Mytilus edulis: one gene and its partner. The protein of the gene in region 2 interacts with the protein of the main gene of each other region in a pairwise test. Links are inferred from orthologs where the notes say so. Each region holds a gene or a part of one and is shown on either strand. Other genes may lie near its edges. The genes, in order: kinesin light chain-like and kinesin heavy chain-like.

Region 1 (17,523 bases), on a different chromosome or scaffold from region 2:
GGACCTATTCAACCTGTTCTTGTTTCCAATGTATACAACGAATCAAACTTGTTACCTTTGCATTTTTTAGAAGAAAAAAAACATATTTCACTTGCATTGACTTCATGTTAATATTTTTGGTTTGCAAGCTATATATCATTATGTTTTATGCTTATTGTTGATATTTTAGTTCATTCTCAAATAAACTTGTTCATCATAAATTGCAGGTTTCAACAGGTAGATGTACATTTCATTGTGCTGTACATTTCTCCGCCTGCATGATATGAGGCCTTTTATAAAAGGGGGAAGTTTCCCAATAGTTAAATCAAATAATAACATATACACACTTAACAACAATTGAAAATGTACTCTTTTAGATTGCAGTATAAAGACAATAATAGTGCATTGACTTGACATATCAACGATATAAGAATTCGGCCCGAAATAGGGGAAAAGCTCTGCATAGCCTCGCATTTCCCTGTTTTATATCGTTGATTTTTTTTAAGCCAATGCACTATTATTGTCTATATAAGGGTAAAAAATCTAATTTACCCTGAAGTGGGCACTATTATTTCTATGTTCAGTGGACCATGAAATTGCGGTCAAAATTCTAATTTGGCATTTAAATCAAAAAGATCATATCATAGGGAACATGCACACTAAGTTTCAATTTGATCGGACTACAACTTCATTAAAAACTACTTCAGCCAAAACTTTAACCTGAAGCGGGCCAGAAGGATGGATGGATGGATGGACGGACGAACAAACAAACAGAACCACAGACCAGAAAATATAATGCCCCTCTCCTATAGAAGGTGGGGCATAAGGCATGAATTTGCATAAAGGATACCACAGAACCCTATGTCTTGCCTGAGCGCTGTCATGGTAAAAGTGTAACATTGATCATTGACAGCCAAAAAACTAAACCAACTTAACAATAAAACAAAGAAAATGTATTAGTGTTGCTCAGTATCATTATGCTATCTCATGATTTTTTGAAAAGTATTTCCATAGTTTAACCACAGTGGCAAGCTTAAGTAAGTCAATTTATAAGTATTGTTAAAGTTTCCAAAATTTTTATAAAGTTTAAAAAGGTTAATGATTTTTAAAAAAGATGTAAATGTGAATCACAAGGACTCATCAATTTCACCATTTACAAAGCGGTTCTCTTAATGACAAAGGTATTTCTGACCAATCCGCCTTTTCATAATATAAAGGACTATGGGTAATCTCATTGTTATTACACCAAAATGAAAATAATGTTACGTCATTGGATGGATTTCCATTGTTTAGAGCATTCTTAACCAATCACACAACGTTTTGTTTACGCTTTTTTTTAAATTACCCATAATGCATTAGATTCTAAAACGGCGAATTTTGTCTCTAAAATTTGTAAAAGAAAGAAAAGAATCAGTTTTAACATTGGAGAAGGTAGTCATAAACATGTTATCAATTTACTGCTAAAATTATCAGTACCAAGAGAATCAATGAATACTCCTCGCAACATACATGTATCCATGTAATATTTTGTATAGCAAATATCATTAACCTTCCTGTAAAGTTATTGAGGAATAGACGTGCAACCTGGAAAACTTGAGCATCAAATTTAGGTACATGACATACACATAAAACATATTTGTCACACATGCAGAATGTAGTCCTCATAAAAACAATCGATTATCGACATGTATAAATATTGTTGACTTACAAAAAATGTACATGTACAAAATGTACTTTGCTTGATAGTTAGTAGAATACTCAACCTCAAAACTTAACCAAACACTGATCAATGGTAATATTGTCCAATCAAAGTCCAGTTACTCCAGTATATAGTAAACAGACTGAAACAGACTACCTACCTGTTGTTTACAAACATCCAAACAATCATAGCAAGCAAGTTGATCAAATGTTTGCTTTGCATGCTTTTATAGACATGCTGTAACAAACTAAAAAGGTATGGGTAATAAACCTAGCCCTCTCATTAATCCCCGGAAAGATGAGCCATTCTCATAATGATTGTTCCAAACGAATGTAAGGATTTATTCAAAACCTGTTGCTGCAACCACTTTATTATATCAGATTTTGTGATAGTTGATTAAAACAATCATATGATTATCAATTTGTTCATTATTCTTTAGTATTTTTCTTCATGCTGTAAGTCTTCACACTGAACATTCTGAAATCTACAGGCTCGAAACTTATTTTTTAAAATTTTATAATTAACTTATGTTGGCATGTAGAGATGATTTTTACAGGCCCTAGAGAAATTTTAAAAGCCTGGGCTGCTGGGCCTGTGGTTCAGCATGAAGACTGCTGTCGTAGTGCTGATGTTAAATAAAATACATAAAGTTATTTACCCCCTGTCTTCTGTAACAGCTTCTGGTGAACCTTTTGACGACTCCATGCTACATGCAATTAAAATCTGAAAATTAACAAAATCACTTAAAACCATGCATTGATACATTGTACATGTACATTCAAACAGAACAAACCATTTAACAACATAATCATTCTATAATAACATAAAATGTATCTATAAACAGTGCTAACATGCTTTAAGATATGAATTTTATCTAAATATTTCACAAATTTATAAAAAATATTATCTTTCTTACTTTTCTTCAGTCCTACACTTAAATATTTCAATTCAAATCAAAAAATTAAAACATTGACCCTTAAGTTCACAATAATTTGTAATAAATATGGATGTTTTTATTTAACTCTCTAACATGTCCAACATCTAAGAAAAGATAATAAACAAGAGTGCACACACTGAAATGTCTCGCCTTCTTTACTAATCATTGATATTATGTTGATAGTCCTAAGTATAAAGCTTTATTACAACTGTCACATAAACTTAACATTAACCAAGATAGCTTAACAAAGACCAATGAACCATGAAAATGAGGTCAAGGTCAGATGAACCATGCCAGGCAGACATGTACAGCTAACAAAGCTTCCATACAACAAATATAGTTGACCTACTACTTATAATTTAAGAAAAATAGACCAAAACACAAAAACTTAACACTGTGCAATGAACCGTGCAATTGAGGTCATGGTCAAATAAAACCTGCGGGACTGACATATAAATCATAATATATTCCCATGCACCAAATATAGTTGACCTTTGGCATATAATATTAGATAAAAAGACCAAAACTTAAAAACTTAACTTTCAGCACTGAACCATGAAAATGTGGTCAAGGTCAGATGACATCTGCCCGCTAGACATGTACACTTACAATCATTCCATACAACAAATATAGTAGACCTATTGCATAAAGTATGAGAAAAACAGACCAAAACACAAAAACTTAACTATAACCACTGAACCATGAAAATGAGGTCAAGGTCAGATGACACCTGCCAGTTGGACATGTACACCTTCCAGTCCTTCCATACACCAAATATACTAGCCCTATTGCTTATAGTATCTGAGATATGGACTTGACCACCAAAACTTAACCTTGTCTACTGATCCATGAAATAAGGTCGAGGTCAAGTGAAAACTGTCTGACGGGCATGAGGACCTTGCAAGGTACGCACATACCAAATATAGTTATCCTATTACTTATAATAAGAGAGAATTCAACATTACAAAAATTCTGAACTTTTTTTTCAAGTGGTCACTGAACCATGAAAATGAGGTCAAGGACATTGGACATGTGACTGACGGAAACTTCGTAACATAAGGCATCTATATACAAAGTATGAAGCATCCAGGTCTTTCACCTTCTTAAATATAAACCTTTTAAGAAGTAAGCTAACGCCGCCGCCGGATCACTATCCTATGTCGAGCTTTCTGCAACAAAAGTTGCAGGGTCGACAAAAATCACGACAATCCTTGAAAATTTTTGTATCCAAACCAACCAAGAAATAAGATTTGAAAGAAATCAAAAACAAGATCCTTTTAGCATGTTTAGAAAACAGATATCTACCCATTCACAAATATGTCAAACTTGATGGCTCAAACATCACTTCTAAAATTTAGATTCTAAAATCAGATTAACCTGCATGCAGAGGTCTGACTAAGGCGCCGAGTCCATGAGACTGTCCTATACTCATACTCAAGAAAAACCGTCTTGACTCGTCATTTTCATTAATACTACGAGTCTAAAGAGGCATAAATTCAGATTTTATAATATTGTATAAACCGTGACTACATGCATGTACATATAGCATCATATTATATCAAATGTTTCAGAGAAATTTCAATTAAATGACATTTTCTTGATCTACTATGTTTTGAAGTCTAAAATAATAAATTATTTAGTTATACAACAATAAAGTTTCTTCTTATCTGAGTATCACTGTTGGACTCACCATGGCCAAAAATCAATCATGTTTTAGTTGGTACTGTGTCGTGTTTCCCTTATAAATACTGATTATATACTGATCATAAATCATCAATGATCATAATTAATTGATGCTTTCCATTGGCATGGACAGAGATATTTAGGTTGGATTATGACAAATAAAACAAGTGAAACTGCGAAACCCGCAAGTGGATAATATTAATAGTGTTCGGTAAACAGGAAGTTGTTGAGTGATGAATCTGAAAACGCATCACACGGTATAGCTGACTTAGTTAAACCCTGAAACCAAATTTCAGAAATCCATGTATTGTAGTTCCTGAGAAAAATGTGACGAAAGTTTCATGGGACGGACTGACTGACGGACGGACAGACGGACTGACGGACGGACGGACAGACAGAGGTAAAACAGTATACCCCCCCTTTTTTAAAGCGGGGGTATAATGAACAGAATTCTGTATCCTTTCACTACTACATGTTGTAATATCAGAATCTAAACATATTTATGATATACATGTATATGCTGAACAAAATAACATGCAAATAGCATTCAAATATTGTAAATTCAGAAATGTTTGTGTGCAATTATTATTCCGATTGTCGAACAAGTGTCATAAATTAGAATTTTAGGAAATGCTGCATATTGTCAAAATTTAATGAAATACAAGCTTTTCTTATTTGCAAAACCTACATGTACAATGTAACCTGTTGCAAATTTTTGCAGTATTTTAAACATTTTGAATGTACCTGTTTATATCATTTGTGTATATAATTGCCCAAATTGCAATGCAGCGATCATGATTTATAAAAAAATCAGATAAATGCCAAAAAATGTACATGTACTATGCATTATCAGGCCCATTCTACATGTTATAAAATTAAGAGAAAAAAAATAATTATGTCAACATCCACATGATACATTTATCAGTGAGCATGCTTGTTGGACAGTACATGTATAGGCACTATGCATCAAACTTTAATGATTGAATTCAACTGAATAGGCAGAGGCAAAAGTAATGTTACCTGCAGCTTTTAAAAGGGCACTCTTAGAAAGATCTGTGTGGAAACTACACTTTTAAGTTTTAAATTAGGGCACCTATTACATAAATGTAAAGGCAATAGGTAGGGATTAGTCAAATTAAACAATCGTTTCATATATATTCAGGGTTAGGAAATAAAGGTAAGAAATGAATTAGCATGTGTTGCAATTATTAGTGTACCAGCAATGTACAAATGATGTATACTTGAACATTTGACAATAATTTTAAAATGTGTTTTTCTCAAGTATGCTTCTTCTAAGCAATTAATTATAAGATTAATTTAAATTTCGTATATTGTTTGTGTCTTATTACTATTTTTATTAAATTGAACTGTTAGATGAAGTTAATAGAATAAATGTGCGAAGTCATGTATTTTTATCATTATTTCATGATGCACAAATATTATGATTAGTATATATACATTAAAATACAAAATGTTGCATGTATGATGATATTTGATAAAAGAATTTGCCATAAACATCTTCATCTCCAAGTTATGATTAAACAAGAATGTGTCCATAGTACACGGATGCCCCACTCGCACTATAATTTTCCATGTTCAGTGGACCGTGAAATTTGGGTCAAAACTTTAATTTGGAATTAAAATTAGAAAGATCATATCATAGGGAACATGTGTACTAAGTTTCAAGTAGTTGTGACTTTAACTTCATCAAAAACTACCTTGACCAAAAACTTCAACCTGAACTTCGCACTTTCATTATCTATGATCAGTTAACCATGAAATTGGGGTCAAAACTATAATTTGGCATTAAAATTAGAAAGATCATATCATGGGGAACATGTGTACTAAGTTTCAAGTGGATTGGACTTCAACTTCATCAAAAACTACCTTGACCAAAAACTTTAACCTGAAGTCGGACGAACGAACGAATGGACGGACGAACGAACAAACGGACGAACGAACGAACAGAGGCACAGACCAGAAAACATAATGCCCCTCTACTATCGTAGGTGGGGCATAAAAAAAAGCAATTGATTACTAACTCATAATGTAATCCTGATCATACTAACATACTAGATTTCATTCATCCAAATATTGACAAAAATAAAGATGTATGACTTCCTGATGGAACACATGAATTAAATCAAAGAAAACCCACATCATTACCAGGCCACTGTTAACAATAAGGTCTGAAAGATTAACATGCCCGCCCAGTGGAATATAAAAGTACAAAAAGTACCATTAGTAGGCATTACAAGGTGTCGATAAGCATGATAAGTCTAGATTTCAAGTTCAACTGTCTTTTACATGTGTTAAATATCTTTCACTCATGCCAAATTGTGATGATGCAGATTTTACTTGGTATCTAGATTCCTTGACCCAATTCTGAATCCGAGTCTGTTCGCACACTATCACGTTCGCCCCCTTTCAGTTTTGAACCCTACACGTTCACGCCCCATTTTTATTGGTTTTGTGTTTGATAACTTTGTATAAATCAAGCTTTGGCAAGTGTATTACTGTAAGTGTTACTGTATTTGTTATCATTGTCCTAAATTAGATTGAGACAATGTGGTTTTTTTTGTGTGTTTAATAAATCTTAATCTTGTTTTGGTTAAGTGTATTGCTCACTTTTATTTCATTGTTTCAAAATAAAGTGAGACTATGACAACATATTTTTTTTTTTGTGTTGAATAAATTTTAATCAAGTTTTGGTTCTAGTGCATTGCTATGATTTTTTGTTTCATTGTTTCAGATCAAAAGGGCCAAGCTGTTAAAATCTTTTGTGTTTTTCATTTAAAATCTTCAATGTTTTTACTCATACCCAGCTAAACATGCTAAATACATGCAGTTTTTACATCAAATCAACTAAAAAAACAATCTTGATTTTCTAACTATTCAACAGGAATTTTATTTAAAATTGGGTGCGAACGGACCTGGGAGTGAACCTGCGAGATGCGAACATGTAGGGTGCGAAACTGTATTGGGCGCGAACGGACCTGATACCCCTGATTCCCGAACACTCAGGTATTTTTGACACCTGCAACTTATCAAAAAGAATAAGGACCTTAGAGCTACAGTTCCACAGATACTGTTCTGCATGGCCTGAAAGGGTGGGGTGGTTTGCACAAGTCTACATTGCCCTAAAAATAAAACAGGTTTTCATAGTAGAGGCTAGAGCCGATTGTACTTGGAGGCATAACATGTCAACTTAGCATGCTTAAGTTAACGTCTAAGCTAAGTGGATATAGAAATAAATACTTATTGAGAATATTGTCCTGAAATATGTTAATTACCTTAAAATTTTCAGATATGTATTACTATTAAAAATTACAAAATCTATACATCTTGTTGAGCTGGACTTTCCTGTCAGACTTGACAGTTGGTGGGTATTCTAAGTTGCAAATCAACGTCGGCACCAATGTTTTCGGCCATGTGCAGTGGTGTTTTAGCAAAGCTTAAATTTATAATGTCTGTCTGTGTATTTAAATTTTAGTAGAGCTATAACAGCAAAATATAGTGTTTATGTGTACAACTTCACTCCCCACACAAGTAACATGGCCGTTTTCATGAATAACTGGTTTTGATAAAAGACAGATTTTATTCTGAAATTTATAAAAAAAATCACTCAGGACTAGAATCTCTGGTTATATTTATAATCATCGTAAAATGTTCAGTTCCAAGAATACAAAATAAGTAAAAGATCTTAATTGAGGTTATTGGAAGAAAAAAAATACAGTAAGATTTAATAATGCCGTTGAACATTTATTGTAAAATCATCAATCGAAAAGGTATCCGGTCGTTCCGGCCCCAAACCGATCCGGCCCCAAGTCAATCCGGCCAACGTCGATCCGGCCCCATAATAAAATATGAATAAACTATATTGATTTTGGGGGAATTTGTGACAATTTTTAACAGTATAAATAGAATTTGCAAAAAGTGTCCGATGGTGGATGACATCAGGAAGTTAGTGAAGTATTGGAGTACCAGTTAAAGAACTATAGATATATTTTAATATATAATTGGTTTGTTTATTCAACAATTATCTGATGATTGTGAACTAAGGTAATGCCACTCGTAATCACTTAAATCAATCAAATCCTGATTAATTAAAGTTACGTAATCAACAAGTTTTTTATACATGTTATAGTTTGATCTTCTGGTTGGTTGCATTTAAATAATAATTAATTGTATTTTTTTTTCAGGTAACATCATAGACTATCTTTGTTTATAGGTGGTGCGCCTTATTAACCTATACTAGTTTAAACTTAATTTAATAAATCTAAATATAAATAAAATTAATAAAATTAATTATTGTTTTTAACTTCTATAAGGGATTGAGAATTTTCGTTTTCGAGACTTTGGTTTTTGACTTATACTTTTGCATCTAATTTGTAATAAAAGAAAAATACAGTATGGTTGTTATGCTTTCCTTTTTTGTTTTTGTTTTTTCTTCATCTGTGGTTGTAAGTGTTATGTGTTAATAATAACGTATTGTGTCACTTGTTTATATTTGTTTTAAATATGATAGTCAGTTGCTCTGTCGTATTTCTTGAATACTATAGGTAGAATATGTTTGATCAGTTGCCCCAGCCAGTGGTCCCGTAAGAATCGTGTATACTATCCCACGGAAGAAAAAATATTTTTTATTGGGGTCGGATCGACTTTACAAATATATGGGCCGGATCGACGTGGGACGGATCGACTTGGGCCGGATCGACGTGGGGCCGGATCGACCCGATAGCTCGAACAAAAACGGCTCCTCTAATTTTTGCAGAGACCAATGATTTGTATGGTAAATACACATCCTTGTAACATTTTTACAGTTATAATTGTAAAAAGTAATACATTATAATTACCAGAATTTTATGTCTTCGAGGGTCGTCTATGACTTTTGTCATTGTCCAAAACCGACTTAGCCATTGTTTAACTTGATGTATTCACATTTACTACGGTATGCCAATAATTAAGAAATTTATTTTATTTTGTTATCCATAAAGTCAGAAAATAATATTTAAAAACCGTACGGATCATTCGAACAAAAAACTTTAGGTCTAAATTATATTTTCTGATTAAATTTTATAGCACATAGCACTCACAAGAACACTTCGTAGAGATCTAAAACATCACGAACCCGACCGGAACTGTCCCCGGATGGTACACATTAGTGCATGATGCAAGTGTTAACAGCTCTTTCAATTTGTTGGCATCATGTATAGTTAGTTGGTCGTGCTGTTGCTGCGAGGTATACAAAAATTGTACAATTTAAAAGATGAATTTTAAATGAAAGTCATCTATGTATCATCAGATACATATAATACAATAATATCTTTGGTATCATGCACTGCATATCAAGTCAGCGCTTTCGTCACCATACATAAAATGCTGTTACACAAATTCTGTCCTTGTGTGAATTTTTGCTTTAATTGCAGAAAAATATAAAATCCCGTGTTTGGTTTTAGAGCTCATGAACTTATATATTATAGATTAATTCAACCATGTACACGTATTGATCCTTTGTACTTTAATATAAAAAAAAAAAAAAAAGAAGAAAAGAAAATATGGTATAATTGCCAATGAGACAACTCTCCAAAAGAGACCAAAATGACACAGAATTTATCAACTATAGGTCACCGTACGGCCTTCAACAAGTGGCTATCAATACAAGACACAATACTGTGGAAATATATTTGATTATTGTCTATATCTGTAATAACATTTTACAGCCCATTTCATTGAGTGTATAGCTAAAAGTAATATCTTTAGGTCACAGTAAACTACCATCCTTTAAGAGTAGACTAGTCCGATAGAGACAGATAACCAATCTATCGTGTATGTAGGACTAGGTTACTTCAAAAAGAGGGTTGTATACCTTACCTAATAATGACTTCACGGTTCAGCTGGCAAGCAAGCTAACCAAATATATTCCCTGTAGCTACACATTCAATGAAATTGGCTGTAAACTTCTGAAATGTATTGTTGTACCGTTATAGACACTCAAAGTTATGGTCCAACATGATTTCGACACTTATCCATTTTATACATTGCGCAAGATCGTATGCTTTTCTCAGTGAAAATGTTTCTTTTCTTTTTGCATTGCTTGTTTGTGGTCTCATTTTAACATACCTAAACGCCCTGTTAATTATTTTTATGACCAAATGTATCCAGCGAATTCGGTGTAATATTTATATCAAAAATAATCTGAAAACGCCATGGCTAAGAAAGAAAAAGACAAACAGACAAATATTTTTTTTATAGATTTTTATAATTTTTTTTATAGATTAGACCGTTATTTTTCTCGTTTAAATGGTTTTACATTATTAATATTTCAGCCCTTTATAGTTTGCTGTTCGGTGTGAGCCATAGCTCCGTGTTGAAGGCCGTACCTCGACCTATAATGATTTATTTTTATAAATTGTTACTTAGAGAGTTGTCTCATTGGCACTCAACCATATCTTCCTATATCTAAATAATAGTACTATAATAGTACTGGTGGTGATCTCAGATGCTTTGGAAGTTTTAGCACTGATGCAGATCATGCACACATCTGGCACCAGTTGTGTTGCTCATGTTATAACAAACCCGGTTAATAGTCTAATTCTGTGGGATACCTTCGTGAAAAGGGAAAGGGAGTGTATAGTTACTATATATATATATATATATATATATATATATATATATACGTAAGGATTATATCCGATCATCTGTGTAACGGCCAACCAACTCGTGATGGCGTCCGTAAAATTAACCATTTAGAACTCTTGGTTTTATATAGCTTCCTTGTGAGCAGCAACCCTCTGACAGCCAAGGAAATTATGATAGGAAGTACAAATAACAAAGAATTTTAACTTTAAATATTTATTGTTGTTCTAGCATATAGACAAGTATATTGAAGGTTATTTTTGTTAATTTATAATAATTTTAAAAGCATACTATTGGTATTGTTAGTCATCTCAGGAAATCAGATTGTGCTAGAATTTCGTGTCATGCATTTGAGTTTGTCATACGGCTAACTGTTTGGCCTGATGAAGTAAGAAATGTGGCCCAGCTTGGTCATTGGTTATTTCCTTTGATTAAAGGAATCCATCCTATCATACAATTCAAGTTTGCTACTATGCTATTTACAGTTTATTTTACAAACAGGATTATTGGACAGTATTTACAACAACAACTATATATATAGCTGAACCACTTACACATTCAAAAATTATACAGTCAAGCAGAAACTCCATATGATACCTAATTATAATTATACTTCTGACTGGTTAATTAAGATGGATATACAAAGAGCATTCGGTGGAATTAAACAATCATACAAAGGCATCATGCTTACAAGGGGTATTACATGCCAAAAATACCGGTGTCTAGAATATAATAAAGTATTTTTGGAAAAATACCACTTGTAAGCATGTTAAATTTGTACAGAAGCTCAATCGCCAGACATGTCATTATGCATGCAACAAATTAAAACCAAGCCAAACCCTTGAATTGTTCAGAAGAAACAGACACACACACACGATAATCGGTTGGTCTCGTGGTTGTATGTTCACCTCTAGTGCGGGAGATCATTGGTTCTAGAGGGCCCTCATGGGGTTTTTGATTATGTGATTACTTGGCCGTTTTTTTTAATGATTATTTGATTATTAAGCCAAATATTTCATGATTATTTGATTACCTAGGACTGTATTTTTAGTTTATGATTATTTGATTACTAAAGATAAGCAAATATTTAATGATTATGTGATTATATTGGCAAAAAAATGGTGATTATGTGATTACTAGGACCCCCCCCCCCCCCCCCCGCATGAGGGGCCTCGTTCTAGGCCGGGTCAAACCAAAGACTTTGAAATGGGTGTTGTTGCTTCTCAAGTAAGCTTGCAGCATTACGAGCCAGTCGGTGAATTAACATATGTTCGTCATTTAGTGACAACAATTGGCAATCATATCACATCTCATCTCGCATCTCTTCTGCCTCCGAGTTTAGTTGGAATTTGAAATCAAGCTAGGCACTGGGACACAACAGTTAAATATAAATTTTAGGCGGCCTGAGTGCATGCATGCCGCTATTTTCCGGCACCGGCAAAATATAAAAATATATGCAATACCAGTTTACCGGCTCTGATTAAAATATCGCAATTGATTGGAAGCCGGCAAAGTTAAAACAAAACTATTTTTATAGACAATAGCTATTTAGCCAGCGTCGACAATAAACGCATTACGGTGAATTTGATAGTTTGTCGGTTCTTTTATAAGAGTGAATTTTGGTATTTACTTTTGAAAAGTATAAAGAAATGGTGATTGTTAACATAAAAGGATCAAATTAATACTCATATATTTAAATTAGATAACAGTTACAATATTTGAGAGACATTTTCACGGCAATAAGCATTTAAAACATTTCTGATCAGTTATGAGTAAAACTAGTGAAAACAAAATTTGAAAAAATAAAAATAAAAAACTGAGCCATTCATTTGTAGGAATAAAATCAAATCAGTACATAGTTCAAAATCAGTCACACAATAATGCTACATGTATGCATTAAGAATAAAATCTCATTTATTTAACGGCTGTATCAGCGACATATATAATTGTATTATATATCACGGTCTCTGTCACAGATCATATGTTTTCGAATGTCATATGAATTCGTGACTATGCATGCCGTTTTTCAATGGGAATTGAGACGTCACAATGCATTCTAAATGACAACGAAAACGAATGAGACGAGGATATGTTGTAAAAAACAAAAGTTGAAAATCTCCGATATCATATCATTTTGATTAAACATGATACAATCTAACAAAATCAATCACATACCTTCAAAATCAACAAAGTTAGAATCAAAGTTGCTTTTGAAATAATAACCGTGTTGCATGAAAAATAGCCACTGCAGCATAATTATACTCAAACTTGTAATTCATTTTAAGGGGTTTTACAAGGATTTGTAACTATACAAATAATTGTTTTTTAGTAGCGACAATTAATAACGTAGAATCCCACTAGCGGTTCCTGAATCGATATAAAAAATAATTTACTTCTATATTGTTGTATCATATAAGTTTTGCATTAAGGGCATACGATACAGTTACAGGGGAGGTAATGACGTTGCTAACGTAAATTGTTATTTTCGCGACGTCAAACGGTGACTTATCGGAAAAAGATGCAGTTTTCGGCTATTTTTTAGCATTCAAACTGATTTAACTTGAAAACGAGTTCATGGACCCCTATTTTTAAAAATGACATTTGGTTTGATTACGGAAGAAGATTATGTGTACCAATTTTCACGAAAACGTAAATAGTGCAATTTTTTAAAATTAGATAAATATACATCCAAAAATTACGGTTTTTTCCTACATTCATGATCATTTGATAAGTTTGTAAAAATAAAATGTACAAATTTATGCAATATTTATATAACACACAAATTACAAATAATTTAACAAAAAACAGATCGTGTTTATCTTTTAAAACATAAAAGTTATGTATTTCTATCGAAAGGAAAAATATGTCCACACATCCGTATTTTAAGGAAATATCTGAAATTTGAATTCCAATTTACTCAAAAAGTAGCACATGAAGGTATATTTTTTTTAACATATTTGATTTGATCAGGTTTAAAATAGCCTATATGAAAATTTTCATCAACTTGTAAATACAGGATCAAAACTGTATCGTATGCCCTTAAAGCATCCTGATATGTGACGTACATCCCTCCCCCTCTTAAATGATACAAAAAAAATCTTTCGTTTAATCATACCACATTCTTTCGACTTAATGGCTGGTACCCACAACTGTAAAACTGTGTTCTCAGCTCTATAGATAATCCAATAAATACCAGTCGAACACATTACATCAACGTCATCCGGGTAATTTCATTATCAGCGCAACCAGAACTCACTGAAGGTCGGTTGTGGTCTACGAACAAATTTTCGTCTAAAACTTTGGAATATGTTATTCTTTGATACTCATAATTCGTCAACACAAACTTTACATTGTTTTCTTTTGTTTTTCAGATTCTGGTATTCCACGGGAAGCAGATTAACGGAATTTTTGCTGACATATTTGGGAGTTGCTAGTTCCCAGGCAAAACGCCAGATTTTCATTACCTCAGCAATCATTAGTCGTATGAAGTTTTTGCGCCTAGACAGTAAGTTTATTTTAAATAATTATGAAGTTTATTATGTGTTTAATTATTTTATTGAAACAGAAAGTTGGTGAGATGTCACAATATTGCGCCATACTGTACAGTTGTGTAACACGTGGGCAGATTATGGAATGGGATTGGCTGACACGTAGCAGACAGCAAGACCTTGTGAAAACATTATCTTACCTTGTGGAATAATACAGAGTTTCTAATATTTATTTCCAACTCACCACACCTGTTATTAAATATTTGAAACATTTTGTTTAATAATCTTTCAACACTGTCAAGAGTAATCAAGATGTTTGGAATTTTAATATGATAATTGAGTTGTTATTTCTGTACTTGAAATATTTTTTTAACCTTTTGGTAAAAATAAAACAGTTAGTGTGAAACATGGGAAATGTCGACAATTTATTCCACATTCCATAAAATTATTGTTTCATACTACATGTATATGGCAATTTTGATTGGCAACTTAACAACCTTGACTGAATGTGTCCATATGGCAAACATGGAATAAAGTAAAAGGTACATTTGTATATTGTCATGGAGTTGGCTTGCTAAACATCAGGTCTCCTACAAACAAATCACTAGAGACAAGTTTTAAAACTGGTCTTTGAATTTTTATTTTCATAATTTGTTCCACTTGATTGTTATGGCGTATCTTTGGATGATAATCTTGATAATTTTTTAATGTGCATGAAGTTGTGGGAATTACGTATCCCCTACAGGATGGTCAATGTACTGAAGACTTTCAAATTGATATTTGCTGCTCTTACGTCAAGTATAGTTGAATGTCTGAACAAGGATTCATGTTTCCGAATGAGATAAGGCCAGTGTAAAATTTTATCCCTTTGACATCGCAGAGTTATAAGTCAATTGCCCTTTTAGGCCAAGAGAAAAGCACTTTGAAATATTCTTACAACCTTGACTTGTCTTTTTGTTAAGACTGGCTCCTTTACTGGGAGATGCTTTATTGCACAATATTTACAATTTGAGCTCTGCATTATAAAATACTATTCGAACCTGTATCTAACCACTCTTATTTCAGCTTTTGTGAAACACATTTTCTTATTATTTTTTCAGGGCCATTGCCGTGGCACTCGAGAAGAATTGAACCACAAGAACACAATCGGACTATTAGTCACTTATTGAGTTTTATGAATTTCCAAAGATTTTGTTGTCATTTATATTATACGGGGAGTGGTAAAAACAGTATAAAAGATTTAATATCATTATGGCTAGTATCAACATCAACAGCGACATTAATGACCCGTTCTACCGTTATAAGATGCCTAGGATCATAGCCAAGGTAAAGAAACTGGATTGTATATTTTTCTAGGCTCTTTCGTGACCAAAACTTATCAATTAGGATTGTTCCACCATATTTGCAACCCCAAAAAATTCTTGTGATAAACAAGAGCCCAATCAGGGATTGAATTTAAGACTGGCAATTGTAACCCACAGCTTAAATTTTGTAGCCCACATATATAGTCCTGTACATGAAAAGCAGATATTCAAGTAGCCAACACCAAATTTTAGGGGCCATTGGCAAGTGCGCCTGCTAATTTCAAACCCTGACATTTGCAATTGAGAAAATAAATGTTTTAACTTATTTGTTTATTGTGATAATTCTTAGGCCTAAAAAAAAAGATATGTTTCCGGTAACATCATTTTGAAAAATAGGGTCGGTAGGTCGGAATTCTTTTTTTTTTTTGACATCGTAAATGAAATCTGGAAAATTATCATGGTTTTTCCAAGTCCGGATCCGTAATTAGTTTCAAAAACCGGAAGTGTGCCATTTGCAATGTTTTTGAAGCACCTGCTGTGCAAATTTCTTGGATTTTAACCTATTTGGAATACCTTTTGACATTAATAAAATGTTTTACTGGCTTTCTATGCAAGTAGAAGCAAGAGAGAAAAAATATTATGTCATCTATCAGAAGCCTGTGTCAAAAACGGGGTCGGTTGATACAATTTTTTAATTATTTTTTTTGAAGATCCAATAAAAAAGTTAGGGTCGGGGCTAAAAAACAGGGTCGGTCGGGTTACTGGAAACATCGATCTTTTTTTTCTCTGCCTTATCAAATTTATCCTTGTTGTAACTCTATTTCCCTTAAATACACTACAGAAAAAAGAAGGGAAATATAAGTATTATTATTATGAATATAATCAAAATTCAGTCACATTCACTTTGTATTATTATAAATAAAGGTCTTTGTTTCTGAATAAACAGCATATTGCAGATGTGAATGGCCAGACAGTAAAATGTTTTCAAATACAAAACTGATTTGAGTGAATGGCAATACTGTGCTAAAATGTAAACTTAAACAACCAAAGAAGTACACAAATGAAAAAGTTTTTATGGGATTGATTCAAATGAATATCTCATTATTGAAATTGAAACACAAAATAGACTAAGATAAGTACAAGAGTGAGCATAACATATGTAGTGTACACAAAATAAAATGAAGAAACAAGTTTTAAATTATAAAATTGAAAATTGAGCATTCTGTACTTACAAATTGAAAAAAATATTTAAAAATGAAAATAAATTAAAAATTTGACTTCAATTATTGGATATCTGTTTTAGACCATTGAGTAATAGTTCCTTGAAGTGTCAGCACCAGAAATAAAATTGACTGAAGGAATTTAAAGAACCAATAAAAATATCTCAGTTAAAACCTTGTATTCTATACACATGTATGTACCATTGAATGAACGTAATTGATAATTATTTTTTTGTTCAATTTATTGTGTATTAAATTATTCATGCATATTTTCTATTTTGTAGGTCGAAGGGAAAGGGAATGGAATTAAAACAGTTATTGTCAACATGCCTGAAGTTGCAAAGGCTTTATCAAGACCACCAACATGTAAGTACAACATATGATAAAAGTACGGGAGAAATAGTGGGTTTTTTTTACAGCCTACAAATTGAAGTGAAAATAACAACTGAAAGAGTTGATAAAGGAAAGTTTTATTTTATTATTTTCATAGAGAATCTTAATATACATTGTATTATTAAATAATTGAAGCACTTGAATTTGGTTGAGAAATATGTTCTGCTAGTTACTTGATAAG
Region 2 (17,216 bases):
TTAACACTGGCCCACCATTTATGTACAGCAAAGGTTTTAACATTGGATACAACACATCTAACCATTTGTCTACATACTTTACATACCTGAACCATTAACACTGGCCCACCATTTATGAACAGCAAAGGTTTTAACATTGAATACAACACATCTAACCATTTGTCTATATACTTTACATACCTGAACCATTAACACTGGCCCACCATTTATGTACAGCAAAGGTTTTAACATTGGATACAACACATCTAACCATTTGTCTACATACTTTATATAGGCTAGTAAATTGAAAAAGTTATCATTATATACAATGAATAAATTTTAAAAAAAGACATTATTTGGTAGATGCTTCTATATAAGGTAGCACAATACAAAGATTTTTTTACTTCCAATCACTAACCTTTAAAATGGTGTAACTTTCTTATGAATGCATATAAAATAATAAAAGAGGTACATATAGATAGATAAAAGATTAATCTTTTAAATGAATGCAATATTGTTATTATGCAGTTATTATGTAATCAATTATTATGTAATAAGGGGCAACATCTTGGTCAGTTCACTTGAATGAATTTAGCTCTGTCATCTCTTTAACTATACAGAAAATTTTAACGAAATCTTAATCAACACATCATGGGCTTCAAAAGGGTGTCTCAAATTGTCCCTATGGTATTTCATTCTCTCATAAATCTCTATTTAGTGTAAACATCCTTACCACATAAAAGAAGATAATGTTCAATTAGGTGTAAAATTTGTTCTATACATTCTATCTAAAATCTGAGACACCTTTTTGTAGATAATGGCCATAGGAACAACATGTAATAAAATCAACCCTCTAGGAATACCTATGCAGAAGCTAATTTCAATTGAAAGTGGAAATTTGGTGAAAAATATTTTAGACACATTTAACATTATAATTGGTTACATAACTGTTGTATAATACTAACATTGCATTAATTTAAAAGAGTAATCTGTTAGCTATTGATAACTACCACTATTATAAGTTTTCAAGCATTATTAAGAAAGTTACAGCATTTTAAAACTTGGGAGTTGGAAATCTTTGTATTGTGATAACATTAAAAAATACTAAGAAGTCTGATGAATTTTTCAATCTTTCATGAAATGAAAAATCTGCAGAAAAAATGGAAAAACAAATATATCTTAACTGTTGTTTCTTACTTCTTTTTGTCAGTGTTGTCTTTTTTCCATGTTTTTATTTTCCCTTTGGCACCAAATTATTATTTTGGTGAGAATCATGAATTTTTCACATAGTTTTAAAAGTCTTTAAAATACATATGATAAAATTAATGAGAAATGGAAAAACTTCTGCCATACACACTGCAAATTTTTTGGTTATTCTACAGAGATTCAAGAAATTTATTCAAGTTTTAAAAATCTTTAATACTAGAAATAAAAATGATAACAGAAAAAAAGAGAAATCAACTCCAGTACCTATAAACACAAAATGTTGACTTTTGTTGGGATAACTTACTTGAATCCATGGTGCGGAATATTGTATTAGGATTCTTGGCTAATATGTATGGAGGAAATCCACCCTGAAATATATTACAGAATAGTTATAGTATAATACATTGTTCTCTTATAGTAGGACATAAAAACAATAGAATTTCACAAATATGTAATATCTAATTTAGATGTCAACCACATGAGACCATTCAAATTATTAGATAAAAGACCAATACACAGTTTATACAGACATCTTAACAGAAAATAATTATCTATGACCAATTGGTATATAAATTTCTACCCATTGTTATAATGTCTCCCAAAGTTCTCCAAATCTATTTTTCACTGCCAGTCATGGAAGAAAATCTACAGGTTCTCACTATTATTTAATTGCAAAATACCAAAATTGTGTGAGTCCTTTGCAACTTTTAACATTAATTTACTCTGACATTAAAAAATCTTTATCTGAATTATCTATACATGTAAACTTAATTTATATCCAGAGTATCACTTACTTGTGGCTTTTAGGAAAAATTACCTTATAAAGAAGATAAAGTCAATATATAAAACAATGAAAATGAGATCTAGGCCAGGTGACTATACATGAACTTGCAATTACTGAGAAACTTATCAAGTGATGAAAAACTAAACACTGATCATTAGACCATAATAAAGAGTGGCGGTAGGAGTCTCATCCAAAACTCCTGTGAAAATAAATGTAAAATCCTGAATTTCTGTGAAAATAATGTGTAAGTTTCCGCCTCACAAAGGTATAAAAACTCCAAATTCCTGACAATTTTAATGAATTACCGGTGGCTATTATTGAATTCCAACAAATTAAACTTCCTTCCCAACAAAGGTCTCTCTGTACCTCAATCAAGGAAACCAAACCCATGTGACCTCTTTAAAATATATTGATTGATATCTTTATCTTAAAATGATTTTCTGATCAGAAAAAAAGATCCAGCTCAAAGTACAATAACTTACAAAGTCCCATTCTCCACAGATATATGGCCCTGCTCTAAGTACAACAAACAAGTCAACTTCCTGTGCCTGCTTAATGAATCCAACTAAATCTTTGTCACCTTCAAAATTCAATTCATTCTCCTCCATCTCATGGAAATTCCAAGGTACATATCTAGAAATTAAAAAAACCCATTTAAATTTCTTTTCTAGAAATGTGTATCATTTAATTTGCTTAAATTCTATTATCATCTACAGAAAACCAACTCATTCTTTAGGAGGGGGGATTTGTACATTTTTTTGGTTTATAATATAGATACTGCTTAAATTAATTGTACCAAGATGTTTGCAAGATAGTTTGAATATGAAAAGGAATCATTAATTCTGACATCCTGTCCTAATCTTCAATGTAAAGCAGAGCTGAACTGATGATTCAATTTGTAATACAGTAAGTACAAAATGTAATAATAGATGATGACTGTCAGCATAGTTTATACTTGTGTATAGATTAAATAGATCATTTTGGTATTAATATTTATTTTAGAAAAATTCATCCTGAAGTCATGTAAGTCTAATGGACTACCTACACTTGAACAGCATTTAAGCCAGCAGCTTTCATTTTCTGTAATCTGTCTTTCCAGTAATATGAAGGTATCCTGCTATAATGTATACTGCCAGATATATAACGGAAAGGTTTGCCATCCATACGGAACATGTCATTATCATAATCAATTGTAAACGTTCTGTTTGCCTGAATATAATGGAAAATTAATTAGAATCTAATTCATAACAGTGTGGATGTTATTTCATTCTATTCATTACAGTTAATAAATTGCTTTGCCGAGTGCAGCTGGATACGACTGCAGGGGTCCAACCCTGAACAGTTGGGGCAAAAATGGACACAATATTTAACGCTTGATACAGGTCTGAATTTGGATTGTAATTAAAAATTTGACACATAATAGGTTTCTGACACAGAATAAAGTCGAAGAACTTGAATTGATTTAATGAATATGATTTGAATTTATACTCAATTTTTTGCTTTTGTGCAATACACTATGCTGTTGTGAATTTTCCTCCCCTCTCAAATAAAAATTAAAAAAAACTTTTTTTTTTAATTTTATGCAATACACTATGATGTTGCATATTTGCACAAAAAAAAATATGAAGAAATTTTCATTTAAATTTCTGAAATCTGAATTGAAAAAAATTGCCCCTACAACTTCTCTCCCCCCCCCCCCCCCCCCCCCCAATTTTTTTCACCTCCCCCACCCTTTTCCTTTCCCTCGAGTAATGTTATAATCTCAATTCAAATTTCCATTTGAGTTTGCAACCATAATTACCCATTAAATACATCATAAAAGTATTAACATTGATATTAATATTCCTTAATCAGCATAATTCTTAAAGTAAATTGACAGCTAATCACCTCAAAACAATACATTTCTTTGTACATAATTTAAATGCAGTGTTAGGGAGGTAATCCAAAAATTGTCTTAATTCTCAATTAACCAGGAAACCCTTGTTTTCCCCCTTTTTTGCCCCTAATTCATATACAGTTTGAACCATAACCCCCCAAACCCAATCTTAACCATCCGTTTGTAGTCTGGAAACTTGAGGTATTATTTCAGAGAGATCCATACACTTCAACACAATTTATTGTCTGGAACTAGAAAAAAGCATATTTGGGCCTCTTAATTCCTAAATTGTTGGGACAATAAGGCATAACCCCAAAAATCAATCCAAACTTTCTTTTTGTGGATATAATTAACCTTGTGTTTAAATTTCAGAGATTTCTATTTACTTATACTAAAGTTATTGTCCGGAAACCAAATGTCTTCAGACGACGAGGACGAGGACGACTACGTCATGTACGTGATACCAATATATGATCACAAAAAAATTTGCAGTTGTATAAAAACTATCAATTATTTGCAAGATATTTGTAATTGTTGTCAGACAAGGACAATGACAATTGATGACAATTATTGAATTAATATGGGGACGGAGTCCCCAATAACAGTAGAAAATTCAATAAAAAAAAAATACGGGAAAATTTCCCGAATTTTTCATTGTACTAATGAACTCAAAATCGTTCAAATTTTTTTTGTCGTGTTTTGAAATCCTGGACCTGCGCAGAAATGTACAATGTACTTCCTTTTTCCGGTCTCGTTTGTATGAAACTTTGAGTAAAATATATATTTATCAGTCTAGTATAAAATAGGAAGGAACGTGCAATACCAATTTCATTTTTAATAATTCCTTGATATGAAAAAACGTTACCTGATGATAGCGTTTCTTTGTTTACATTGCATATGACGTCATAATTTAAATGACGTCACAACTAAATCCCTTACAACAGAACCAAAATCGGAAACATTACGGTATTTCCGTTTCTTTTTTTTTAAACAAAATATTTAAGTTACAAAAAAATAATTCATACAGACTTCGTCCCCATTTACAGGTAGTGCCTGCCTCATATTAGCTCACACTGGCTCTTTGGTCCAAAAATTTGATTTGATTTGATATATGAATGATCATGAATTTTGTTAGATTGAGTATTGATTTGATTTGATTAAAATTTGTTTTCACTCCTCTGAAAGATGTTTGAGAACACTAATCTAAAATTTTAAATGTTTTGAACCAAAATATAAGTTAACTTGTGTAACAAATACCTTTAGTGCATGTATGATCATAAATAAAAAGACGAAAGTGAAAGTTGGACGAAACATGTAAGTCGCCATTTTCAATGTTTTGTTGAAGTCATGTGATTAGATCATATGACTTGGTTACACGTTAACTCGTACCTTTACCAATTCGTACCCAATATTTAATATAAGTGTACCGATATCCTATTACTGCATTGACAATTCTACCCTATTGACAATTCGTCCCTGTATTTGATATAGATATATAAATATATAAAGTAAAACAGCTTTTTATATTCCCTAATTTTCATATAAATATATATGAATCAGTGGTGATCTGGAACTGTGATATTAACCTGTTGCAATGCGAAGTCCTCCGCAAGGCTAGTGTATATGCACAAATATTGTAGTTGCTTAAAGGACACTCAAGCAACTAAACCGAAGCCGGATATTGTTTAAAGCACTTTACAATACATCTTTAAACTTATGTTCAAAAACTTATGATCTAGTCCTGATAAGCAGCTGTTGCCTAAATACAGGCTCTCAAAAAACATTGTTGAAATAAAAAAATAAGCGCAAACATTACTTGGATTTATATGCAGCCTCTAGTACAACTTGTCCCAATGCTCTGAGGGAGAAAAAAATCAACAACAAAAATCATAGATCCTTAATAGTTAAAATGTCAAAGTTGGATATCATTTCCTGGGACAAATTTGTAATTGTTTGCTTCTCTAATTATTTATTGAGGTAAAAAAAGAAGAAGTAAAACCATCTCAACCTCAGACCTAAGCATCTATGACAAGCTATTTCGTGTCGAGGATTGCCCTGATATCTTCCCTTTTCAATCTTTAAAGTGTGTTCTGACACATGCAACCTTGTCGGATTTTGTCTACAATGTCAACACTTTGGATTACAGATGCATATTTTTTTACAACAAAGTTATGTGTCCAAGTGTACAAGAGAATAGTTTACTTCAAGTAGGCCTATATGTATGTAAATCAGATCCTATAGGTTTGTACAAAAAAAAACAACAGAATATTATATGTCTTATATCCCAGATGCACAATATGACCAAAATTAAAAGACTGAAAATACGACGAAAAGACAAATAACAGAAAACGAAACACAATACAAAAGACCGTAATATTGAACAACACAAATCTCAGCCAAAACAGGCCAGGTCAAACTTCTGCATGTGCTCATGTAGGATAAACAGAACTTTTTGCATTAGAGAAACTAATTGAGATATTGCTTGAATAAGAGTTAAGGGTTTTACAAAGCATCCAATCTAATTAAAATATTGATCTCTGATTTCGTTAAACTACATATCAGTCATATATAGTATAACAAAATTAGAGATCAATATCTTAATTATAATTAGATTGACAAGGCATCAGTTGTCCCTTCCAAAATAAAACACTTTACTTATATCTGCGCTTGACTTTTTTTAAAACTGAGTTTGACTTATAGTTTCGATCTGAATGAGGGATGTTGAAACTATTCCAATATCTGCTATTTACATCATAAACTATCCGGGCAAAAGGGTAAACAATGTAGATATGATATTTTTTATCATCAAATCTTTTAAGGAGAAAAAAGGGAATTTACTAATATCCAAATTGTAAAAGAATAAACAGAACTTTATAGATCAAGATAATCATACTAAAAAAATCAAATATATATCGTTCTCATCTAACATAGGTCTATATTCAAACTAGAGTGAAGGTAAAAGCACAAAAAAAATCAACGGTAAAGGTGTGTATTTCACGACAATAACTCTTATAGAGAGTACATTAACGATTTCGGTCAAGGACTTATGTTATATGTCAGTTTGGTATGTTCAGGACGTTTGAATATTTCAAGTTTACTATCACACACGTTATTTCTTTGAAATAGCCTTTTTTTGTAGATCCTGGTTTGCTGATGATTTAGCTGCGAATAATTTGTCACCATCTATTTAAGTTTTCATATATATACAAAAGTCAAATGCGACAACACTGAAACTGTTATCATACCCTCAAAAATGTGTTTTAACAAGTTTAATTTAATAATCAATAAGTTCTTCGTTTCTTTCTATATGTGACCCCCTCATATGTATCATTTTGTACACAAACATATCAGGAATACATCAGTGCAACCATAAACTTGTACAATATATGTCCGGCCTTCTTTTTTTGGGGGGGGGGGGGGGTGGGGTTGGGGGGGGGGGGTAAACCGGCTAGCTACACCGCCACTGTCCTGAAAATGTTGGAAGCCTGAGATACAAAATATATCAATAAATAGTTGAAATTTGATCCGAACGAACATTCTTAACAAAAACAAAAAACCCTGTATTTTCATTATTTATAAATTAGTATAAAAGGTGGGTCTCATTGGGGTCTAAGCGTGACGCGGTATTGCCGATTTTTTGTAAGCGTGACACGTGAAAGTCAAATGATTGTGCCGTGAAAACGGGAAATGATGTCTAGCGGAAAAATGAGATATTATTGCTTTCATACTTAGTGTAAGCGGGATACGGAAATCTGACAAAACAGTAAACGGGATCCGGGATCAGAACCCCCCCAACTTGAGACCCCTAATAGTCCATGATTATACAATATACATATGTTTCTGTTTGTCTAAACAAACAAACAAACTATTATTAACTTGGAGATTCAGCGGGAAATATCTTATTCTAGAAAATATTGACTTCCGTATTTTCTATTATTCATTTATAAAAACTTTTTGAGAGTCCGTTACTGTTATTAAAGTTGAAGGCATATGGCCAGTCAAATGATGACGTTAAACTTAACGACAACTATCTGTCGAACAGAAAACAATGTGTTAAAGTGGTTGCATATTTTAGCACCTGGAAAAACATTTATAAAGATGTACCGCAGGGGTCAATATCGGGTCCTGTGCTTTTCAAAATTTTTATAAACGACATTTTCAATTTTGTAAATGAAAATGAGTTGTAAAACTATGCAGATAATAATACATTGTCACACTCAGGACCAGCTATAAACGGATTAGTTAAATCTTGGGAAAGGAAAGTGCAGTTTTAATAGATTGGTTTGCTAATAACAAAATGAAAGCTAATCCGGATAAATTTCAAGCTATTGCCATTGGCTATAAATCTAAAAGTGGGGATATTAAATTCAATTTTGATGAGAATGAAATTTCATGTGACACTGAGGTAAAGCTCCTGGGAGTGACAATAGATTATCAACTCAAGTTTAAAACACATATTTCTGAAATTTGTAAAAAAGCATCAAGGCAGTTAAATGTACTAAAAAGAATTGGGAAACATCTATCTAAATTGGGAAGGTTAACTAATCATCATTCATATATTATGTCAAATTTCAACTATTGTCCCGTTGTTTGGCATTTTTGTGGGGAGGGTAACACTAAAAAATATATTGAAAAAAATACAAGAACGAGCCGACAACCTTGCTTCGGAAGTTGGAAGTACGGTACACTCTGGAATGAGCTGCCTGACGCGATATGTGCGCAGTCGAATCTGAACCATAATAATAATAATGAATAAGCTTTATTTAGAGTCGGCAAGATATACAAACATAGACAATTTGATTTTTTTTTATGTTTCAAGTTCATTCTACTTTTAGAACTAGTTAAGCTTATGTATTTGTCTTCTTTGCATGTCACGCTTATAATCTAGTTTAATTCGTGCTTGCTTTTATATATATGAACTTTGCTTATACTTATGCAATAAAGCTGTCTCTACGAAAAAGCTCTATAGAGCTTATGTTTGTAGTATTTCGTGTAACCCGATTTAAAATAAATTTTCCTATCTAATCTTATCTAGTCCGCAAACATTGCAAAGCTAAAATTAGAGATTCCGCGGGAAATATCTTATTCGGGTAATTTCGAGCTTTTATATGGAATTAAAGAAACGTCTAGAGAAGTTCGATTTCTCGCAAACGTCATTTCCCATCATTCAACAGCAATGATGGAAGAAGGAGGAGATTTTGTTCGGACGTTATAAAAATAGTGTGTTCAAGGCGATCGCCGTGTCATCCTAATACATTTTGCTCTATTTTCTGCTTAGTAGTTCATTGATATATCCAATTCGCTTAAGATATCTTTCTTGTAACTCTTTCCAACTGCATTTTCACTGGCTAATTTTCTGTTTATTCAGCTCATGATATATTCATGATGGTGTGATTCACATACATTACATTATAAATTGATGTTTACAAATTAAATTTGTATCGTAAACAATGGCGACACAGCAGTCACCTGCTCCACCAGGGCCACCAGGGCCTACTCCTGATGAATGCAGCATCAGAGTTATTAGCAGGGTCCGACCATTAAATTCCTCTGAAGAAAAAGTTGGCAGCAAGTTTATCTTGAAGTTTCCAACAGATGACTCTATAAATATAAATGTAAGTGATTTATACATGCAAAAATGAATATTTAATTTTTTTTCTTTTGAAAATGCTACAGCTTCAACTTTAAACTAGGGCTTTAAATAGAAGCCAGTATTGTGATTTCCTTCGTCTATTTTGTCTATACATGTAGCATGAAAGATCATGGAATAGACCACTTTCGAGGGTGTCCATCAATTATGCGCACCTTTATGATGTCTTTTACCAGATAGAGGGGATCACCTGTATCCCTTCACTATAAACGTTCATCAAGCGTCTTAGTCTTATTATGAGAATTCAATTTGCTGAATAGTTTGTGTAATATAGCTTTATAGTTTTCCAATCACTTGCTCAACATTTGAACAGAAGTGAAGACTCCCCTATACGCACGAATGATGTTCACTTAAACCAAACTTTTTGACAGAAATGCATAGAACTCGAAAGTTGTCTATTTGGCAGTCTTCTTTGTCCTAAAGTATTTTATTTAAATTACACAAAAATGAGATCGATATGTTGACCGTAGTTCTATTTTAAACCTTAAATTATTGTTGTGTTATTGTTTATGTGTGTCAGTCTCTCCGTAAGAGTTGTGCAACAATAGTAGTTACCAGTTGTTGTCATTCCGAGAATTGTTTGTAAGACAAAACCTGATTGGGCAATCAACAAGTCCTTTTTAATTGGTGTACAATTGCACATCATGTGTGATGGTTAAACATTTACATAGCGACATTACCCATTGCTAGCTTGGTAATTTAATATGGTATACTTCAAAATTTTAATAATGTAATTTAAACAAAATTTATGAAAAATAAAAACTTCATTCAAAAACATGGCAATCTGAAAGTTGTATTTTTGTGCCAGGAGACTTCTAGAATGCAGGGAGGATTTTACTTTTAAAATAACCTAGAGCCTTTGTCGTCCCCACCAGCATGTTGGTTATTTTTTAGTTTCAGCCTTCTAATTCTATTGAAAGCCCTGTTATTTATAAAACAGTACAGTGTTGTCAGCAGATGTGATTAGGGACTGAAAATTATGGGCTTGTAAAAGTTGTTGCCTGAAATACATTGTAGCTCCAGTTTCAATACTAATAAAATCTATAAATTTGTAATATATAATAGAAAAATATATAAGGTATCCATCCATGCATCCATTACACAAAATTAGTACACGAACAGCATATAATTTATGAAAAGTAACAGGACAGCACATTAGTTGCTGTTCTTCATGCCTTTGTAACTATTTTTTTTTAAATGATCGATGATTTGTATGAAGATTTCCTTGCATATTATTTCATAGCAACCACACCACCACCATTACCTAGAATAATAGCTTAGATTATGTGAAAACTTCCGAGCACAGGTTTAACCAGAAAACTGATTGATATAACCCAAAAAACTCTGTTTTCATGATTTGATGCATCTGATATTGTCAATTGAAAATTTTTAGAACGAACTTTGAAAGTCAGTTAAAAAAGGCTCAACTCATCAGATGGATACAAATAGAAAGACATTGTTTAAAAGTGATTGGCCATTGATCAATGTTTCCTGGATCTAATCATTTCTATACAATTGTTTTCATGACCTAAATCATAAATATACATTTAAAAATTTTGTCATTGTTGATAAAAAATCAGAACTGGCATAATAACAATACCAATTCAACAATTATTGTTTATCTTGAAATAAGAGACACATACTGTCTAGTTTGAATTTGCTACAGTTAGGAAGTTAATGTAGCTTTACAGTAATTCCTTAGTTGTTGGTTGCTTGCTGCTTCATGTAGTCATTTGTGGTAGTTGTTTTCCTTTCTAAACTGTTTTTACCACGGAGTCGTCAGTTCCTACTGGATCCTGATCTCATTTTGTTTGTATTGTATCATACATGTATGTATATGTATTAAAGCTAGATTTAACATAATATATTACAGAATAAACCAGAATTTGATTTGTACTATCTGTTGCATATAATTTTAATTATTTGAAATACTTGTTCATTGATTAAGTTAACATTTTTTTTTTAGGGAAAATTGTTTATTTTTGACAAAATACTGCAACCAAATGTTTCCCAGGAAGATGTATATAATACAACTGCTAAAACGATTGTCGCTGGTAAGTAATGTGTTTGTTCTATATAATTTATCTTTTCCCTAAAGATACAGGAGCAAATACTTTTAATAGGCAACTGAACTGAGAGAGTATCTTTTACTGTACATAAGTAAATGATACAACACATTAAATGGTATGAATCTTGGAATGTCCTGTTGAATTGCCTTTCTGAGTAAACAAATGTAAGTAACATTAACATGCATGTAACAGTATACAAAAAAGCAAGTTTATATTCAGAATAAAATTGAGAAAGGAGATAGGGAATGTATCAAAGCGATAACAACCCGACCATAGAGCAGACAACAGCCAAAGGCCACCAATGGGTCTTCAATGTAGCCAGAAACTCCCGTATCCGTAGCCGTTCTTCAGCTGGCCCCCTAAAAAATATGTATACTAGTACAGTGATAATGGACATCATACAAGACAAAGGCCAGAGGCTCCTGACTTGGGACAGGCGCAAAATTGCGGCAGGGTTAAACATGTTTATAAGATCTCAACCCTCCCCTATACCTCTAGCCAATGTAGAAATTAAACGTATAACAATACACACATTAAAATTCAGTTCAAGAGAAGTCTGAGTCCGATGTCAGAAGAATATTATGGATCATCTGATGCTTCATATATATATATATTATTAGTATGATTCATATAGCTTTGAGACCTTTATTTAGGGATTTGGATTTAATTTAGGGAGGAACATACTTTTATGAAAACAATACTTGTAAATTAGAAATATATTATGCATGTAGTTGTAGAATGAATCTGCATATTATTTTAAAATGGAGTTCACCAAATACACTTTTATATGTCAGTTGGGTGAAAAGTGTCATGTAATCACTAATCAAGTCAAATCAATTAACTAATGTTTAAATTACTGTATGTTGCACTTTAATTTAAACAGATAAGGTTTACTTTGTACTAATTTGCATTCACCAACTTGACAATCAATAAATTTGCTGCAGCAGACATTATTGATTTATAGATGTCTGATATTAAGCTGTTCAATGTGTATTATGATCCAAACAGTAATTCATTGGATTTTTGGTATTAAAGTTTTAGGGCAATTTATGTCATTTTAATAATCATGTGGACCAAAGGGGAAAGTAAACATAATCATGATAATCGTGCCCTTAAATATTTAAAAAAAATTATATATACATCATTTTACTATCATGTTTTATAATATCAAAGCATCTTAATTAAAACATACAGGTACAATGTAAAATGTGTAAGTTGTATAATTTCTTTAAACCATAATAAATAGAGAAAATCAAACAGGGGAAACATGCTAGACTGTCAATCTTTACCTTGTTGCCATAAAATAAGCTGCTATAACTAAATAAAAAAAACCAGATTGACTCCTTATACAAGTAATTGCCCTTAACTAAAGATTCATTACATTCATTACCATTTGCACTGTTAAAATATTTGGGTAGAATATTGATTGAAAGGATGAGTTTTCTGTATATTTGGATGCTTATCATTGTCGTTATGAAATATTGTATCCTATAGTACCCTAAAGAACAGTTTGTACATATGTATCCTGAAAAAATTGTCTGAACTGATTGTTGTTGTAATGTAGGACATTTGAATTGGTGTTAATATATTTCCCAACAAATGACTCCTAAGTACATGATAAAAAAGTAAAGTTTTTTAAGGTTCCTACTGGTGTTAGTTAGCTGTCTTCACTGAGAGTTTGAAAGGCCCTTTGTTATCTTATATATAAATGTTATTATGTAATTTGTGAATTACAATAGTAAAATGTCATATTCATGATTATAAGTCCTAAACCTCAAACCATATTTGATTCAAATATTTAGAAAAAGAACCTGACATTTGCCTACTGTTTTAATTTTGAACATGGTTTTGTTGATATATGATATTTAATTGTTTTGTTTATCTCTCAATAATTTAATTTTTGGATGTAACACGTCTTCTGATTGGCTGACATTGTTTTGTTTATCATATCATAGACACAATTTTGTCATGTGACCATGACGTCATCAACGTTTTTTCATAATTTACGCCGGTTTAAAATGAAATGAAAATTAAATTATAAGAAATAACTAATATTTTGTCAGTCTATTCGAAATAACATAAAAAATGTGGTGTTATTCAGTGTGCACCACATTTTTATGTTATTTCTTCATAGACAGAAAAAATATTACAGTCATTCCTTAATTAAAACTGGTATTGTATTGATTTCAAAATAAAATTGGTGAAAGTATGTATAATATTTGTTATATAAAGATGTTTCCTAGAATCAGCTGATTAATTGATTTTCTAAGATCAATACCTGAGTCATGTGCAGGATGTTACTTAATGATGTGAGGAATGTAGTCAAGGTTAATCCTAGTACATTTAACTTTCAATGTCCTTTTAGGGATTTGAAGGATATGTAATGTCTGAGTTTTCTAAGATGTCCATAGACCAATAATGTAACATTGTCACAATTTTTAATGTAGCTCTATAGCCTCTAAAGCTAAGAAATGATTAAGAATACTCTTAATTTCAATCTGAAAATTTGAATTAAAACTATATTTAAATTTTCACTTTATATTTGATTTTCACATATATCTAAATACAGTGTATTAACCTGTGTTATCCGACACACTGGGTGGCCAGAAAAAATTGTTGGATTAAGCAGGGTGTCTGAATACTCAGTTTATTTCTTTAAGCATAGGCATAGTTCGGACCATGAAAATGTGTCTTTTAAATCAGGATGTTGGAATACTTAGGTGCTGGATTATGTAGGTTGCACTGTAGCAACAAAATTATGTTTTTGTTCTCCTTTTTCTTTTAGATAAAGAAAGAAAATAGTAAAATCTCTTTGTTTTTCTATAACATAATCTTTTACTTTGCCAGGAATTCCTGGCAAGACGGTTGTGAAGTATGGAAAATATTCTTCTTTATATAAAATAGCTTTTTTATTTTGCCAACTTATGACACCAAACGTCTTCCAAGGCATACTAAAAGAAATATCTTAATCTGCTTTATATTGTCTACAATAAAATATTGCCCTCGTAAAACAATTAGTGCTGTTAAATGATTTCATTCATCTCTGCTTCTCAATTAGATGTAACTTCTTAAGGGTTTATTTTAATTAAAGAAGACTATCTAGAGCCCAGAACTTTGAAATGTTATTTTATTCCATTGAAGAAGAAAAATCCCCCTAAAAACTACAGAAAATTTGGTGAGGTTTGATTTGAGATAGAATTACTAATATAAATATATCCTGTTATGTACCTCCGTCATTCACTGATGAGCTATCAATAGATACAAAACAATAGCAGATAGGGTGTTACTTTTGGCAAGAGAGAATGTGTTTCAATTGAATATATTACTTACTTTCATTGATAGTTATTTATAATATTAATTTATTATTCAAATCTATTTTTGTCACTGCTATTTGTTATAAAGACCTGCTGAACATCCATAAAAAATACTGGCTGGAAGTCCATACTTATTAATCAATAATTGGGTGTGACGATTTGGATATTAACCAAAATACCATATTTCACTATTTTTACGTAACTGATAAGTGAATAACAAGAATCTTGACAGTTATTACAAGAGGGCAGAGGGTTGGGTTCTCTCTGACTCTGAATTCTATCTACTTTCTTAATTTATCAAAAAAAAAATTTTATGCTGTCTTCTCATCTTTTCTGTCAGTATGTATAAGATATATCCATGAGGGTGTTAGCATGATTGGGTGTATCTAATATACACTAAGATATTAAAGTTAGTGCAAATAGATAAAATTCAATAATTTAGGAGGGTGTCTATCAGCAATTAAAGGTAGTTTTATGTTAACACACTATACATGCAGGATACCCAATAATACTTTTATTATGTCATCTTGCAATTGTGTAAAGACTCTTAAAAAATTGTAAGAAATACATTTTGTATAAATGAAAATTTATTTGAGAGAAATATGTATGTGTAAAAACTATTTAAATGAGTTTTATATTGATAAATGAGAAAGTTCTGCTACAATTTGATTAGACAATAATGTGTATTTTGTGCAGTGTAGAAAATATACATTCCAGATCAGATTTGAATAACACAGCTGCCAGATGTTTTGTCATAAGTCCTTTCTTACATTATATACATACCAATAATAACATATGTTTACCCTTCTGCCTATTGTTTATTAATATATGTTAATTAGGGTTAACATAAAAACAGGCTTGATTGCTTTATTAACTGTGGGCTTAATATCATAGTAAGAACACTGAAAAGGGGATGAGTTTGAAGGGAAGAGTATTTTCTTCCTGAGGATTTTTTTAAAAATAAAACCAGAAATGATAAATTGTATCTAGAAATCAACATAGAGTTTCGGATAGCAGACAGATATGTATAGTATAACTCTAAATCAACCTGATAGGGACATGTTAATAGTAACTTAACAGAGGTTTTAATTTCATGAGAAAAATTCGTTTACCAACAAATTAAAAAACCATGGCCTTACCGCAAAACACAGATCAAGTTCATTTGACCTTGACCTCATTTTCATGGTTGATTGGTCGATCTTTATTTTTTTTTTTGTCTGTTTCTTAAAAAATATGAGCATGATAAGCAATAGGTCAACTAAAATTAGTGTATTGAATGATTATGATTGTAAGTTGTACATGTATTTCTGTTAGGTTTATATGACCTTGACCTCATTTTCTTGAATTGTTTTTAAGTTTATGTGATAGTTGATGCAAAACTTTATATTCTGGACTATTGACATATTATCAATGCCAGTGGTTGGTAAAGAAGGCAAGACATTTCAGTGTGTGCACTCTTGTTTTCAAAACAATTATACAGAAAAGTGAAATTAAAAAAAGATCCACAACTTACAATCAATATTTTAAATGATAAAGTGAGAACTCCTTGTTTTCAAAATTCCAATAGGGAACATACTATATATAATTGTATAAATAAACCAATTTTTCAAGACGTTTCGGCCATTGGCCTTCTTCAGTTCTTTATTTTTTTGCAATGTCAGCCATGTAGTTGAGAGGAAAAATAAAGAACTGAAGAAGGCCAATGGCCGAAACGTCTTGAAAAATTGGTTTATTTATACAATTATATAAAGTGAGAACTGTTCAATTTGAAGTGCGACTATGATTTGGGACCAAAAGTTTGATATGGCAATTAAATTAAATTGTCCAGTTTTCACATGAAAGTGATTTGGTATTAGTGCACAGAAAATAAAATAAAATATTTCAAGGGCAATAACTACAAATATTTGAATGAAGATTCTGTTCACTTGATAAAAGTCTGTGAAATACATTGAATTGTTCATATGAGATATAAGAATATAAAACAAATAATACAGTTTGTTATTTGCATTGAGGACAAGAGGTCAAAGGTATATATATACAGAAACATATTTCTGCATAATATTTCAAGAAAAGCACATGAGTCCTGTAAGTCTAGGAAATATCTTCTCCTTGTTTTCTGTTCAGTATCTTTAATACAACCAATTTGTTTTTCAGATGTATTGGCAGGCTACAATGGAACAATATTTGCGTATGGACAGACGTCTAGTGGTAAAACTCACACTATGGAGGTAGGATCTATAAAATAAACATATACAATAAGCTGGATATAATTTTGACAATGTACTTTTTCAAATTAATATTTTCACTAGTAATTTGTAAACTATAATCACTTGTATTG

What was found.
Region 1: the proteins of kinesin heavy chain-like (region 2) and kinesin light chain-like interact in binary tests that used the Drosophila melanogaster proteins (3 or more experiments, as listed by UniProt). The link is inferred for Mytilus edulis from reciprocal best matches to the Drosophila melanogaster genes Khc and Klc.

The regions. Positions count from the first base shown.
Region 1 is NC_092346.1:18,412,380-18,429,902, reverse strand, and holds the start of kinesin light chain-like, read right to left. Parts: upstream 7,887-17,523; 5' UTR 7,592-7,886; intron 2,402-7,591; 5' UTR 2,384-2,401; coding exon 2,337-2,383; intron 1-2,336. Other genes in the region: eukaryotic translation initiation factor 5-like, read left to right, coding at 15,677-15,751, 17,234-17,315. UniProt on the Drosophila melanogaster protein: Kinesin is a microtubule-associated force-producing protein that may play a role in organelle transport. The light chain may function in coupling of cargo to the heavy chain or in the modulation of its ATPase activity.
Region 2 is NC_092345.1:94,130,072-94,147,287, reverse strand, and holds the start of kinesin heavy chain-like, read left to right. Parts: upstream 1-8,933; 5' UTR 8,934-9,295; coding exon 9,296-9,460; intron 9,461-11,461; coding exon 11,462-11,549; intron 11,550-17,032; coding exon 17,033-17,106; intron 17,107-17,216. Other genes in the region: beta-galactosidase-like, read right to left, coding at 181-275, 1,490-1,553, 2,452-2,602, 3,015-3,178, 5,103-5,171. UniProt on the Drosophila melanogaster protein: Kinesin is a microtubule-associated force-producing protein that may play a role in organelle transport. Milt and Miro form an essential protein complex that links Khc to mitochondria for light chain-independent, anterograde transport of mitochondria.